Linked DNA regions of Pelodiscus sinensis. The protein of the gene in region 2 interacts with the protein of the main gene of each other region in a biochemical or structural test. Links are inferred from orthologs where the notes say so. Each region holds a gene or a part of one and is shown on either strand. Other genes may lie near its edges.

What was found.
Region 1: the proteins of LYN (region 2) and FASLG form a complex in vitro, tested with the Homo sapiens proteins (2 studies listed by BioGRID, with this or other methods). The link is inferred for Pelodiscus sinensis from reciprocal best matches to the Homo sapiens genes LYN and FASLG.

What each region holds. Positions count from the first base shown.
Region 1 is NC_134719.1:64,391,529-64,399,229, forward strand, and holds the start of FASLG (tumor necrosis factor ligand superfamily member 6), read left to right. Parts: upstream 1-4,689; 5' UTR 4,690-7,701. Other genes in the region: SUCO (SUN domain-containing ossification factor), read left to right, coding at 1,842-1,897, 2,561-3,007. UniProt on the Homo sapiens protein: Cytokine that binds to TNFRSF6/FAS, a receptor that transduces the apoptotic signal into cells. Involved in cytotoxic T-cell-mediated apoptosis, natural killer cell-mediated apoptosis and in T-cell development.
Region 2 is NC_134712.1:64,564,168-64,572,184, forward strand, and holds the start of LYN (tyrosine-protein kinase Lyn), read right to left. Parts: upstream 3,003-8,017; 5' UTR 2,769-3,002; intron 1-2,768. UniProt on the Homo sapiens protein: Non-receptor tyrosine-protein kinase that transmits signals from cell surface receptors and plays an important role in the regulation of innate and adaptive immune responses, hematopoiesis, responses to growth factors and cytokines, integrin signaling, but also responses to DNA damage and genotoxic agents.

The sequences.
Region 1 (7,701 bases), on a different chromosome or scaffold from region 2:
AAGAGTAAATTGGAAGAGTACAGTGGGCAATTGCTAAGCCTTGAGAACAGTCAAGTAGGGGTAGAAATCAGGCATTGCCGTGCTGAATTCGTACACTCGGTTAAATGTGGAGAGCACTTTTATATGGGGAGTTTTAAGAAGCTGAGTTCATTATTGAATAAATGAATTGTGGCTCAAAGAATTGCCAAATATTTGTAAATGAAATGAGTACACAACGTGTAAACTAAACTCTTCAATAAAAGCTGTTCATAATTAAGTCTTAACTTGTATTTGAGCATTGAGCCAAAATACTGTGACAGAAGCTTTAAATGAAAACTCCTAATACGCAGTAACTCCCATTCTATCCAGACATCAGAAATGTGCATTTACAGCACTGTGAAGGCTGATACCCCACTCTGGCATGATGAATGCAGAAGTGGGGGCCCACAAAAGCAACCCCAAAACCTTATCTCTACAAGCTTTGGTACAACACTTCCCCGCAAAATCTTAACTTAGATTTTGGGGATAAAAATATGCTGCTACCATCAGGTGCTTTTAAACCCACGACCGGGGGTGGATGCTTGAAACCAACTCCAGGGCACCCCACGCTCTTTTCCCCAAAGAGCTTGGAAAAAAAAAAAGAGAGAAAATACAAATTGCAGTCTGTGGTTGCTGTCCCCTAACCAGAGGCATGCAGATCTCAGACAGATTTTTCAGAACACAGAAATGAACCAATACCAGGTTAATAAAAAAGAAAACTTTTATTACCAAAACAATACTATTGTTGCAAGCATAATGACTAGATGGAAAAAGTTACCAATTAATATACTCATGGGGGACCCCCATGGGCTCAGGACTTAGTTACAAAAGAGAGGAAAACCCATTCTAACAGCACAGACATCAGATCCAAATTTCCAAAACAGAAAACAATAAAACCTAATGGATTTATCTAAACTTTACCCTATTTATACATTATGAAGAGTCTTTTTCTTGGAGAGAGACATGTGTTCTGCCTCCCTCAGTATCCAGAGAGCAAACTGCCCAGAGACAAAGGAGGGAAAACCCCAAAATTCCTTTGTCTCAGTTTGAAGTCCTTACCTGCATTTCTATTGGCTGAATGCTACCTGGCTAGGTACAATTAACCCCTTGGTCTCCAGGCTGCTACCCATCCCTCATGGTTATAACAAACACTCTATGCTCTGCAGAGAAAAATGTGCATTATTAAATCTTGTTCAGTTTATATAAATTAGAGGATATTAAACTTAATAAAAAATGTTCTGAAACAGTGTTTTTGATTGCTGGAAACACCAAGACATTTTTTTAACATCAAACTCGAACTCCGATCTGGACAGCTCCCCGTGGAACCCGGAAAACACCCTGTACTTTTGCCTCCTGGCTGGGAAAAAATCAGAAAATGCCAGACATTTTAGGTGTCTGGTATTTTCTGAATTTTTGTACTGGACTGTCTGGCTCAATACCAGACACCTGGCAACCCTATGACTGCCCCAAGTACTGGGTCCTTGAACACTCCCTTCTTATCTTCTGAAAATGTATTCTGCAAATCTCAACTCTGGTCTAATGTCTCAGGCAAGATCTGCAGTTGCAGAATTATATGATCAGGTAGAAGTTAGTTGCTCTGGAGATAGAACTTTTCTATTGAACATTTTGATTGGTTTACTTTCCATGAATATGCATCCTGTTCATATCTCATAGATCTTAAGATGTATGGATGGAATGCAGAGTAATAGTCCTTTCGAGGAGGAATGAAACTTCATATATACTTTCATGGTTTTAGAAATTAGTGTCTGTGGTTGCAGTTACATTTTATTGTCCTTTCATATGTATCCTTTCTTTTCTTATAGTGGATCCAAATGACTTGTATATTGTAGAACCTCTGAAGTTTTCACCAGAAAAAAAGGTATAGTAGCTTCCTTTCCGGTTTCTGCCAGCAGATGGTGCTTTTTCTCAGTCACTTATCTACAACTAGCCTTGGAAGAATTAAGTATATCCACAAATGTCAGTGAACATTGGCTTCACACCCCCACCCCACCCCCACGTGATGATAAATATTTTTATCAGTCATCAGAGGGGTAGCCATGTTAGTCAACTTCAGCAAAAACAAGGAGGAGTTCTGGAATGCCTTAAAGACTAACAAATTTATTTAAGCATAAGATTTCAGGGGCTGGAACCCACTTTGTCAGGACTCAGTGTTGTATTTACATTTTATATCAATGATGATCAAAATTTACACAGTAAGAAAAATGATCCCTGAGAACTTTAGTTTGATGTAAAGATATTTACCTTATGTATTTTGCCATGTGATGTTGATAATTTGCTTTAACCAGGTAAAGCTTTAACTTTCTGAATTTCAGCATCTACTATATTAAATAATTTTGACCCCTTGGATAATTTCCTGCAAACTGCGACAATTTGACTAAAAATAAAAATGCTTAAAATAAACATCAGTATTATCTATCAGTTATTAGAGTTCTGACAAGCCTATGTATGATCTACTATTATTCATATGCGATATGATTTTGTTTGCATTGCACAATCTAATAGTTTCTTTTTCCTTCTTTAGAAGAAACGCTGCAAATATAAAAGTGAAAAGATAGAGACGATTAAACCAGCGTCAGAGCCTCTACATCCATTAGCCAATGGGGAAATAAAAGGAAGGAAACCCTTTACGAACCAGAGAGATTTCTCTAACATTGGCGAGGTATATCATTCCTCATATAAGGGTCCTCCATCTGAAGGAAGCTCAGAAACTTCATCTCAATCCGAGGAATCCTATTTTTGTGGCATTTCAGCATGCACGACTCTGTGCAACGGACAAACCCAAAAGACAAAAACTGAGAAGAGGGCTATAAAACGAAGGCGATCTAAGGTTCCAGACCAAGGGAAGTTCATAAAAACTCTAATACAGACTAAGACTGGGTCAATGCCAAGTCTGCATGACATAATCAAAGGAAACAAAGAGATAACTGTAGGAACACTTGGTGTCACAGCTGTTTCTGGACACATCTAAAACTAGTTGGATTTCTCATGCAGGAGAGTGTTTGTTCATCTGAGAACAGTCTGTTGTACATCTTGCAGGAGAGTGATGGGAGAAGAGATCAGCTAACTGGAAAGTATTCAGAAATTATGATTTCTGTTTTTTTTAAAATAGATGGGATTGTGTCAATCTTGGTTGAGTTTCAGCTTTACAAGGCTGATGACTTCCTCTGTGGACAAATGGGGGGTGGGAGGGATCATTTTATAAAGCTTTTTTCACAATTAGTGGGGCAAAGATAGTTGAAACCCAGTTTGTTGGGTGGAATAGGGATAAAAGCCTAATCCTCTTCCTTTAGCTTTGTTCCTATTTCTTGCACCTTCCCGTATTTATGTGCCTTTTGTCTATTTATAATGCCACTGGAAGAGGAAGAGAGAAAATTGTCCTTTGATTTCTTTTGTAACTTCTCTTGCTTTTTGGAGGAGGCGACACTACAGTGCTGTAAAGGGGCATGTTGGCAGTCAGCTGGACTCAGTAGTGTGGGCTGGAGACCGTAGTAATACTAACATGGCAGACTTGTCGATTGATCTCCATTTTGAAAACTCACTTGGAAAAGATCTTGTTAGAAGCAATTGTAATGCCATTAATTACATTTTAATCAACTTCAGAATTGTTTTATTTAGGTGTGTAAAATGAATTACAGCTATGCAGTTACACTCGCTGTACGTGAAGGAGCTCATGCTGACAAACATGCCTTTGATCCCCAGACTGACCTTTGGAATTCTGTTACAATACTTAACCAAAAAGGATTGATGCTTTATTTTAGTCACTCTGTTTTCTGATCCAAGAATTTGGACATTAGGGACTACATTCAAGGAGAAATGTAAGGGTGACTAGGTACAACTGAAAATATAAGTATCCTAACCAGGGTTGGGTACAAATGCACCTGACCAATGCAAGTGAGTTTGCCAAGCCTTGAAGTCTAACAGCTCAAGTCTGTATAAAAGTGGATATTTCCATAAAGTTTGCTTTTGTATTGGCTAAGATGTGCAGGGTGTGTGTGTGTGTGTGTTTTGGTACTTTCATATGAGTTTATTTTGACCATGGTTGTATATTTGGATAAAATCGAATGTGTGACTGCATACAATGGTGTGACTGAAGCAGAGTGAATGGGACAGAAGGTTACTCCTTTTTGAGAGGTGTTATAAGTTCATGTTGTAAAACTAAGTTAACTTATTGAGCACTTTTAGTGGTACCCTTTTTTAAACAGATCAAATGCCTTTTCTGGGTATTGTATGTAATGTGACTTATTTAAAGCTTTTGTTTTTGCTGCTTTCATGTTAGTTTATGGATACTTTATGGTGATGTACTTTTAGAGACGGTCTGCACAATTAGCCAGTCAGAGCACATGGACCTGATTTATAGAATGTCTAATCAGAAAGGGCTCCAAACAAGAATGAAGAAAAAATGCTTATACTATCTGAGTGCAGCAAACAATATTGTGGAACAAGATTATGTAACTACAGAGCTGTAGTGCCATTAGAAACTGTGAATTTCCGAATAAATCTGAACACTTGTCTTATGCATTTAGTAGCTTTTCTTTTATAAATCCCCTGTTAATGGGTTGAAGCTCAAATTTGTGAAGTTGTGTGGTTTAGTTTATAGGACACTGGACTGACTGAGGCACTAGGAAACCTGGAATTTACTCCTGCATCTTAGAAAAGTCCCTTTGCCTCTCTGCTTTGATTTATCCTCTCACCATGTGTGACGGCAGGGGGCCACTTCAGTCCAGCCAGGCTGGAGTGGCCTTCCTTCCCCTTCCCCTTCTCCCCCATTTAAGCAGTTAACTGGTTAAACGTAACATTTCACTGGTTAACAAATTAAACAGGATTTTACATTCCTAATTTAGAGTGTAGACTCTTAGAGCAAGGACTGTTTCTTACTATTTGTTTGAAGAGTAACCTGCGTCAGGGAGTCCTGATCTCAGGGCCTTTAGAGGTTGCTGTAATTATAAATGAGCTAGTTTACCACTTGTAGCAGCTATAAATGTGGATTTATTGTTTGTTTCATTGGCAAGAATCTTAATTTGTGCAACTTTTTCTTGTTTCTATATCTTTAATTGTAACTTACCAAGAACTTCATTTGCAGAAAAAGTAGGTGGGCTGTCACATTTCCTCAGGCAAGAAGTTGTTTGGCCTGTGGTTTGTTTTTTAGTCTCAATCTTGACCTCTTGCTAATTATTGCCGTCTCCTATAGCCTTCAATAACCTCACAAAAAAGAAACTAAGCGATTGGAGCCTTGAACATTTAATATCTTTCCATATGGCTGTAGGTGATGGTTACCTGTTCACATCCCTAATATCACTGCTAGCTCTTGGTGCCTGCTAGGCCTTGAGTGTCTCCCTGTGCAGGTGGGTCCTAGCCAAGACTATGTGAGGGTTGTAGTTTCCAGAAACTTTTTACCGTTTTTTTTTTTTTTTTTTCTAATCCTTCACAGTTGTGGCTATCTCCTCTCTGGAGATATCTGCATGACATTACTCTTGCAACAGTAACTTTAACCAAGGCAAGATTTATTAAAAACAGGGAAAGGGGCGCTATACATTTTGGGCAGGAATAAGAAAGGGGGTGGAGAAGGAGAGACAAGCCTCTCTTCTCAGATGTGCTTAAAAGGTTTTGGATGTACTAAAACCGTTCACATCTGGAGGTTTCTCTCCTTAGCAGCAAGACTCTCCAGACATTGGAAAGCATGACAGTTCTCTCTGGAGGAATACTTAGGAGTCACTGCGTGAGCATGAGGCTTGGATGACGACTCAGCAGATCTACATTCTCTTCCTGGGGTAAGTCATTTCACCACTCGTTGCCTCAGTTTCCCCATCTGTTACCCCCTTTGCCAAGCGTTTGAGAAGGACTAGTCAACATGCAGTATTAAGAGCTAGGGTTGTGTGACATGCATATTCATAAGCCAATTTTCATAAAGCATAACTCAAAGATGCTTTAAGCAAAATGTATCCTATAAATTATCATTTTTTTTTAAAGTTACAATCTGCCAAATGTGTGTGTTTCTGTGCATCTAAGTCTTTTAGTGAAAGCAGTTAGTGGTACTGTAGGAAACTTAGTCGTCCGGTGGTCAAGGCAATGATCTGTACATGGGCTTGTTTTTCCTGTAAGCCCAAACTGTGGCTGGCTGTAGAAAAACATATCACCTGGTGCTAGAATCTATTTTGAATCTGGTATTTTTCCATGAAGATAAGGGGGGGGAACAAAAGATTCCCACGCTGGGGGAAAGTATTTAAGGAATGGAAAGCAATTGGTCTTTTGTCTTCAGTTGGCCTTTGAAATGGCCTCTCCACCCTCAGAAGATACAAATGCAGTAACCTGGAAACAAAGAACTCTTAAGGACAGAAGGGGGACATCTAGACTGCAAACCTCTTTCAAAAAAGAGCATCTAGACTACAACCAGTACTTTCAAAAAAGCAAGCTGCTTTTTCGAAAGAGCACCCAGGTAGTCTGGATGCTCTTTCAAAAAACGACAGTTTGCATTACATAGCGCCTTTTTTCAAAAAAAGGTGTTCTTCCTCGTTAAAACTAGATTTTCTGCGGTCGAAAAAATTGCCCCATTTTGATTTACTTTCCAAAGAGCACAGCAGCAGCCTAGATGCAGGGGAAGTTTTTTCGAAAAAGGCTGCTTTTTCCAAAAAAACCCTGTAGTCTAGACACACCCAAGGAGCTGTAGACCCAGGCCAAAGAAAAATCAATGGTCTTGAAGCATTTTACCTGAAATAAGGACAAGGGTGAGGAATATACTTTGAAACAATTTGTCTTAGTGTAGTAGGCTTAATTGGCATGTTTTGTTTGTTTTGGTTTAGTAACTTAGATCTGTTTTCATATGCAATCACTTAAATCCTGCTTTTTATACTTAAGAAAAGTTTTTGTCAGACCCAGTGAAATAATTGTTACCTGGGAGGAATAACAGGTGTGCATCTCTCTCATTGATAGACAGCAAATCTAATGAGCTTTCTCTGTGTAAAACATTTAGAGTAAGATGGATTTATTTGAGGTTTTAGTCCCTTTTGGGGGTTGTGTTCCTGCGTGCTGTCAACAGCCTTATAGCCGGCCCTTCCCAGAGCCAAGCTGGTTCAGTGTCTGTTGCTTTGCTGGGGTGCTGTTACCCCAACTCGGTGGCTTGGCCGGAGAACCAGAGCTTCTGGCCCAACAGGACAGGGTGGCGGCGTGCCTCAGAGAGCAGGTAGGCAGGTTCCATACAGCGGGTGACAGCCTCAAGGGGACCTTTGTGATCGAACCGGTCACAGGTTGATTACCAGTGTCTTACCCACAAACCGGTGTGATAACTCCTAGCAGCCTGAATGGCCATATAGTCCTACAGAAAAGATTTTTGTTTGAAAAAACCCCAAATAAACTGGGCAATGCAGTAACACAGCATGTTGTTAACGCAGAGTTAAGTTTGCCTGGCTGTGTCCAGTACCCCTCTGGAACACTAATGTCTAAAACTCAGAAATTAAGAGCTAAAGGTCCTTCCTTGTGCAACCTTAATTCTGCCACCTTTGAGCAATGCCCCAGCAAACCCGTTACACAGAAATAACTCCATCCTTGCTAAATTTGATAATCCCTTTGCTCTGGCACAATTCATCCCTCTCATTTCCTACCTTGCCACTGACCAGAAGACCCCTGTGTACCAATTGTAACAGAACCTACCGGATTTAACAGAGACCA
Region 2 (8,017 bases):
GTCTCCCTTATAAAAAGGGCATATTGCAGTTTAACTTGCAAGAGGGTCACCGAACAAGGTGTGCCATTTCTAGAGACAGAATCAGGAAGCAAAGATTTAAAAATTTGTCGAAAATCCATCCACTAGTTTGGACCAGGTGAAACGCATCTGAAAACTGTAATGCTAATAGAGTAAAAAATGCCTAGTATTAGCAGATAGTTAATCATTGCAGTCAAAAGTATTGTCTACAAAAACAGCCACTGAATGATTTTACTGATCAAAATATTAAAAAAGACCTTTCTGCCATTGTTTGTGTCTTTGTAACAAGGAGTCTTGCTTACCCAGAGGGGTACATGGAAAAGCGGAACCCCTTTACATCCAGCAATTTACAGTAATTGGCAAAATATTGTAATGATGTAATAAGCAAGATATATCTCAACATTTACTGATGAAAAACATCCTCAAATCAAGAAACATTTCAACTTTTATGTAATTTTTATCCAGTGCCAGCTTTATAATATTAATTTTGAAATAGGTTTCTCATTTTCTTGACCTATTGGCTGAATAATCCATGAATTTTAATTGTCTCCTGTGTTTCCATACACTCCTAATAGGCAGTATTCTCAGTTCATTTCATCCTTTCTACTTTTAGTGAGAAAACTGTTTTCCAATCCACAGGTGAAATGTTGTCACTACTTATTATGAAGATGTGAAGTCCCCACTTAATAACATAAACCATCACATCTGCTCTGCATCCAATACTAGAACAGGAAAGATTCACATGAAAGCAATTCAGTTAATTCTGTGTTAAAACTGGGCTCCCCAATATAATTTAATTATTTTGTTAAGACAGTTCCAAATTGCAGGTTTTTATATTATCACTTGGTAAATGTTACTACACTGTTCCAAAGTTTATCTGCTGTCAGATATTACAATACAACCATTTACAGCCAACTCACCCAGGAATCATACTGTATGAGGGTAAAGAGTTTCCCCCTCAATTTGTAATATTTCAAGATGATTGGGTGAGTAGGATGGGAATGGGAGATTTGCAGTGAGTGTGAGAGAAGAGTGTTTAGGGGTTTTTTTTGGCTGAAAAACATCTAAAGTGCTCTTCCATTGTGAAAAACGAAAGTAAAAACGGCAATTTCTAATTCAACTTGTTTGTTCTCTGTGTCTTCTCAGTCATAGCTCTTTATTTCAGTGACTAAAACTAGTTTTGACCTCTGAAATGAGCTTCATTCCTGAATGAGAAAGAACAGGGGGTGTCAACTACGTTCTAACTGCAGAGTTAAAATTTAGTTGATGATGTTGACAGAGAAAGAACCAGCTTGGCTTTCAGATTCTAGGCTGAATTTGTAGATCTGGCAGCTTACAAAGTATCTTTTTATTTAGAAATGAACACCACAACAACTTTTTTTTCCAGCACAGAAGCACACTTCAATATCTAGCTGAGAGGGAGCAGTTTTAAATTGAAGATGCTCCAGAATTACTTTACTATATGCTTGTAGGTTTAAAATCCAAAGTTTAATACAGAATACCCTAAGGTCATATTTTTTCCTCTTAATTAAACCAAGCCTATTGTCTGAACTTGTGAAAGTGACTAAGAAAAATGCATTGTGTAATACTACCTTCTTTCTAGCATACCAACTCTTTTGTTGTTTGTTTTTAATTAGGAATAGTCAAGACTGGCTGAAGACAATATATCCCTGAAGAGCATAGTAAAACATCAAAATGCAATCCCTTTTTAAGTCTTCTTAAATAAATTGCTGTATTTTCTTAAAAGCTGAAACTAACCATCCATACAGGAAAGCTTAAGCTGCAGCTACACCCCTTCCCCCAGGCTAGAGGAAAAGCTAACCAGTCCGAAAAGAACTCTCACTTCCTTTTAACTAATGTGCTGTATGTATTTTATCTGAGGTTCAAACAACCATTCCCTTAAGGGGCAGAAACACAAGCTGCCCATTAATGTCACACTTCCTCTTTTGAACTGGCTGTACCCTTTAGACATGGCTCATTTAATATTTCTAGTTCACTTCAGTGAATGGGAAAGATCAGGTTTCATGACCTGCCACATCAATCGCCCTTTAGCTAATTCAGGGATACTACTATAATATCCTCAATCAGCCCCCCTTTTCTCCTCCCTGAAGACTTTGCTTCTCCTTATTTTAGGGGAGATAGGAGGCTAGAGGAAGATTATACCAATACGTAGGTAGAGTTTTCCCTATTCTGATTGGTATGCCAATAGGGCAGGTCAGAGGTGCTGGAACAATCTGTATAGCGGAGCTGGCAGATTGGAACCAAACCGTAAACCCCGTACATAATGGAAACCACTTCAAACCACTGGGAGCGGAAGCACCTCTAGTTCCAGCATCTATGGGGCAAGTCCTGGCCCCCAAGTCCCAGTGTTGCTAACAGTGTGTTAGGAGAGCCAATAAACAAAGCACAAACCCAAGCTCCTGTGATAAGTTGTTTGATCCAACAGACAAACAAGTGTCTATTATGAAAGTTCCCTCTGATCTGCAGTGCAAGGTAAATCCAGGGGGAGGGGAGACAGTTTCCATAGCAACTAGGACTGCTGCAAAATAGATGCCTTACCCCTGATCCCCAGAGAGAAACTCTCAGTGGTTCCCTCTGACAAACGCTAGGAAGCCCCCTTAGTCCGCTCCCTGCCAGCAGGGCTGTTCCCTGCATTTCCCGCTGCTCGGAAAGGATCGCAGAAATTACACTTGGCCACCGGCGCCCAAACAAGCTACCCACTGCCAAATTAGGAGACAAAAGACGCTTACTTACTTCCCTGAATGCGAAACTTTGGAAGCAGCAAGTCAACTCCACAGTTACTTCAGCCACAGAGCTGGGGCAGGAGCCAGGCTGCCGTTCAAACTCAAACCAGCTGATGAGCCTCGGGAAGAGGAAAAGCTACTCGCTTGGTTTTTTGAAGACCACGGGATTTTACAGCTGGGAGAGAGAGTCCAGAGCAGCTAAGCCGATCCTCTGCCACCCCAGAGAGCAGAAGAGGAACTTCGCTTGGTTTCAGTGGGTTGGCTGAGAGTTTTCAGTTTACTTCCTGGTACTGTATTAGGGAATTTGCATAAATATCAGTAAAGGGGATGGGGGAGAGAAGGGAGGATTTTTAAGAAAAATGTTAAGTATTGTTCAGCTTTTGATCAAGAAATCAAAACACTGGGTGAGAGTTTAAGAGGGGAGACTGAAGCAAAGACCCAAACAAGACTCGCAGAGGTATTTCCACCAGCAGCAGGGAATAAATGAGAAGGGATTTCAGGAGGGGGAAGATTACTAGGGGCTGGTTTCATTTTAACAAGGCAGCCCTCCCTCCAGCTAACGGGAGGGGGCGTGGCGTGCCCTGCTCTAGAGAGCCCCACAACCACCTGTTTCCGCTCATTCTTTGCTACCTAGGAGAGGAGACTGCATGGGGTCGGGGAAGAGTAAGGGATTCTGGCATTTTCTTCCGTTCCCTCTCTCCCCTGGCGGATAATGAACTATTTTAGCTCCACTAGAGCACCCAGGACTCTAGGGAAGTTTAGAAGGAATGCAAGCTAAATATGTTGCTAACATGTCATGACTGCCCTTCATGAGACAGGGAAACTAGAGTGGTATGACTGTGCAGAGCAGCACTGTTAGCACTCCTGAATATTACTATTGCAGTAATAGCTCTAGACTAGAGGCTAACCAGGCTAGGACCCCATTGTGCTAGGTGCTGCACAAACATATAGCAAATGGCAGTCCCTACTCCAATATCTTATGAATCTGAAAGGCTAAATGGAGGAGGTGGCTATGGCAGGTAATAGGATGGAAACATTTTTGCTTTGATCATGATTCAACTTATGTCCAGGACATAAGGGTCAGAGTCCAAATTAGTTTCCTTTCCCATAATAGGCTATTTATTAATAAGAAATAAAAAATATATTGAAAGATCAGAGAGGGAGGTTGACGCTTCCTCTGAGGCTGCTGTCTGGATTTATTAGTCATGTGGTCTATGCTGTGGTCAGTTCTAGTAAGTGTCTTTGTTCCTGTCGTATGGCAGATAAGTCTTTTGCTGGTATGGTGGCGTGTACATGCTGAGGGTGCGAGAGTTTTTATTGCTATGCAGGATCTTGTCTGTATTAGCAGCAAACAGCTTTTGTTTATCAAAAGGGAGATCCTCCACCTTTCTTTGAAGCTCCCTGAGCACACCTCCTACATGCAACCAGGAGGCTCTCCTCACCACTGCTGGTGAGCTACTATCTATTGCTGATAGTAGTGCTGTGCAGGCGATGGTGTGCCTCTCACAAATTATTGTCCTGAGGATGGATCTTTTGGAGGTGCTCCATGAGCTCAGCAAGCTTGGAGTAATCATCCAAGTCATGGCTGGCTAGCAATGCAGAGTAGTTTGCAATTCTGAGCTGCAGGGTGGCAGAGAAATATATATTTTTTGCCAGATAGAGCTAGTTATTTATATTCTTTGTCACTGGTTGCTGACCTAAGTTGAGGAGCTTGTGAATGTTGATTCACTGCATCCACCACCAAAGATGTGTCTGATTCCTCCATTATTGCTTCATCAATTGTTAATGCAATCCTTCCCTGAGAGGAGGGATAGGTGTTCTTTAGGAGACGGTGCTGTTTCTCCTTTACCTCCTGGAGCTGAACTTCCTGAGTAGTGGTCCCTCTTAAAAAGTTCCTGAGATTGTTTCAGGTCGTCAGTAGAATGGGTATCTTCAGGTATTACTGCCTCATCAGGAGATAAGGATGAACTGTTCCTCGAGGAAAGCTACGGGGCTCGTGTAACAATGTGCTCATTGAGAATTGATCCTCCTTGTTGTCTTCGGATTCAGCGGTATTCAGAAGGGTATGGGATAGGGAGGCTGGTGGAAGCCTCTTTGGTGACACAGATGGGCCTGTAGAGTGGCATCTGCAAGGTCTCCAATAGTCCCATGGGGCCCACTGGGGTGGATAATGGGGCAGACAATTGGGAGGTGAAAAATGTCAGTCAGGGTACCACTGTGGGTGGTAAGGTCCCTCTCGGTAATGGTGAAAATGACAAGATGTAGTAGGAGAGGAGTGTTGTGAGGAGAAGGTGTTCCTCTGATTATGTGTCAGCTACTCCAGCATTTTTGTGTAACAACGGAGACATAATGTAGCCTGGAACTCGATAGGGAGAGCATAGCAAAGGCTGAGCATTCTCAACATCAGCTGTGTGAATGCCCTCAAGTTGGCCAGTGTGATTATGCAGCACCGGCACAGCTGCCGAGTCTGGCGGGGGAGGCATTTGCACTGATATTAGCACATCAGAAGGCAGTGCTGAAGACTTGTGGGGCTGTGACAGATGGTTCCCCACTCTTTCTCAGTGCTGGGTGTTGTGGTGCCACTTGCGGCAGTGCCGGGGTTCGCCATCATGATCTCTCTGGTGCCAACGATGAACGATCCAGCTTGGAGTGAGCATGGGGTGCCATTCTAGCAACTCTTGTTAGAATTCTTGGCACCAAGTTGTCTGTGGTGCCTGGCGAGTCTCCACTGGCTTGATGGGGGGGAGTGGTCAGGGACAACGACCTCACCAGGGAGACCCTCGCCTTGAGATATTTGTGAGGTGTGGGAGACACAGATCTGTGTTTCCACAGATCCCCTGGAGTCAAAGAGGGCTGAGACCCTTCTGAGGCCTGCAGAGCCCACTTGAAAAGAATCATATGGCGCCAAAGCTCCTGGTCTTTTGTAGCCCTTGTCGTAAGGCTCTGGCAGTGATCACATTTTTTGAGGGTATGCGACTCCCCCAAACAGCGTATACAGGCATCATGCCTGTCCAAAGCCGGTATGGGGTCATTACACTGATGGCACTTCTACGATGCCCGGTTCTCAGGGCTTTAAGCAGTGCTTTTCTTTCTTTTTTCCCCTCTGTCTGTGATTGAGGGTGGTTAGCGAGGAACTGAAAGGGGGAGCAGGATTGCATATGAATGGTGGCAAACCGCCAACAGCACGAGCTGCCTTCAGTGAATGTGCGGTCCAGCTAATAGCTGTTAAGAAAAACTCTGAACTGCGGTTCCGGGGATGACCTGTCACCAACAGAGGAGCACCCACAGGGACATCACCCGAAGAAGAACATTCCATAATAAGTCAACAAATCTGACGGGGCTTTTGCATATTTCAGTTTGTGGATTGGGCTTCGATAAAAGGTACATTAAAACACATGGGTTTGGAAAGTGGGAACTAGGGGTTTGAAATTTGAGTCTAACATTGCCAAGTGAGAACTTTTGCCCTATAGAAATTCCACTATTTACATGGTTATTGGTTGAATGATTTCTCCTAGTTTTATTTTTAATTGAAGAACTGTCAGATATCATATATACCCGTTGATAAGCTGAATTTTTTTGGTAAAAAAGTGGCTCAAAGAGTAGGTGTCGGCTTATCAACAGGTCTACGTTGTCATTGTAGATCAAAGGTTGGAAAACTTCAGTACCCAGCCCATCAGGGGAAGCCACTGGTATGCCGTGACATTTTGTGTACCTGAAGTGTCCACAGGGATGGAGTCCCTCAGCTCCCAGTGCCTGTGATTCACTATTCTTGGCCATTGGGAACTGCTGGAAACAGCACAGGCCAAGGTACCTGCTGGCTGCCACTTCTCGCTGCTCCTATTGGCCAGGAACAGTGAATCAGACACCGAGAGCTATAGGGCTCCATGCCTGCAGATGCTCCAGGTAAACAAAATGTCCCAATGAGCCAGTAGCTTACCCTGACAAATCGGCAACCGAAGTTTGCCAACCTCTGAAATATAGAATTGGCTTATGAAAAGGTCATACCCCATTGGTTTGTTCTTTTTAACTATTCATCTTAGGGTGGGTCGACTTATAAACTAACAAACTAATGAATGAGTATATACAGTTGTTTAGGTCCAAATTGTTATCCTATTTTATAATCTATTTCATAGTCTGGTAGTCTTCTGGATTTCATTTTTTAAAAAATTCCTGTCTTTCCCCAAGTTTATTTTTGTTTTTAACAGGAAAAAAAAAAGACCAATGCAAAAGCAATATATCTTGACTTTTTTCTTCGTTTTCTTGCAGAGCCAGCATTGTAGTGTGGATGTCTTAGACCTGGTCTACCCTGGCATGTTTTGTCACCAAAACGTATCTTTTGTTGACAAAACATTGAAAGCATTTACAATCCAATGGCACTTTTGTCGAGGAAAACACCCACACTCTGTTACTTGAGAGACATAGTAACTTGAACAATTTAGGAGATTGAGGTTCTGAATGGTGTTACATGCCTTTGCCCCAGAAGTGAGACCCGTCTGGCACTCCATATCTCTATCACTGGTAATTGAATGAATAACCAGAGACCAGATATGTTTAAATCAAAGGTAAGTATACTGTAAATTTAGAAACACAGCCCCAAACGCTTGATATTGAACACATCCATCCACACCCCAAATAAATACAAGAATAAAGAATAATCCCAGTACAATAAAGAAATACTTTGCAGTTGATGGTGAGGTAAGTGATGCCTAGGATCTACAACCCTAGAGCTAACTAGTAGCTTTTGGGGAGGAACTCTAGGTAATCCCACGCTGATTAAGTCAACAAGTTAATAGTTGCCAAGAAAACAGTTCTCAGTTCCAGCCTTGAGCTTTCGCAACAAGCAGCTGAGCCCGTCCTGAAGGCTTCTCCTCTACTCTTTCTCATCTGGGTATTCACCACAAACTCGGTTGATGAGGTAGAAGATGCCTAAGATGGTTCTCCGTGGGGAAGGTGAGATTCAACAGGCTCTAGTTGGTGTAACTCAAATGCTTCACCCAGCCTTCGCTAGAGCTAGCACTGAGGAACACCACAGAGACCCAAATCTTCCCACCACACCACTGACCACGAGGGATAGTGATGATCAACAAAGAACAAGAGCCCCCAAAGCAGCAGACTTATAAAGTTTGTTTGACGGGAAAATGGGAATGGTGCCGTGTGCAATTCTGCTTGGTGCTGAGTGCAGCCAATGGATGAGTGGTGCTGAGTGCAAACCTTGAGATGGTATGCTAATTAGTCCTTTAGCAGGCAAAGCCTGT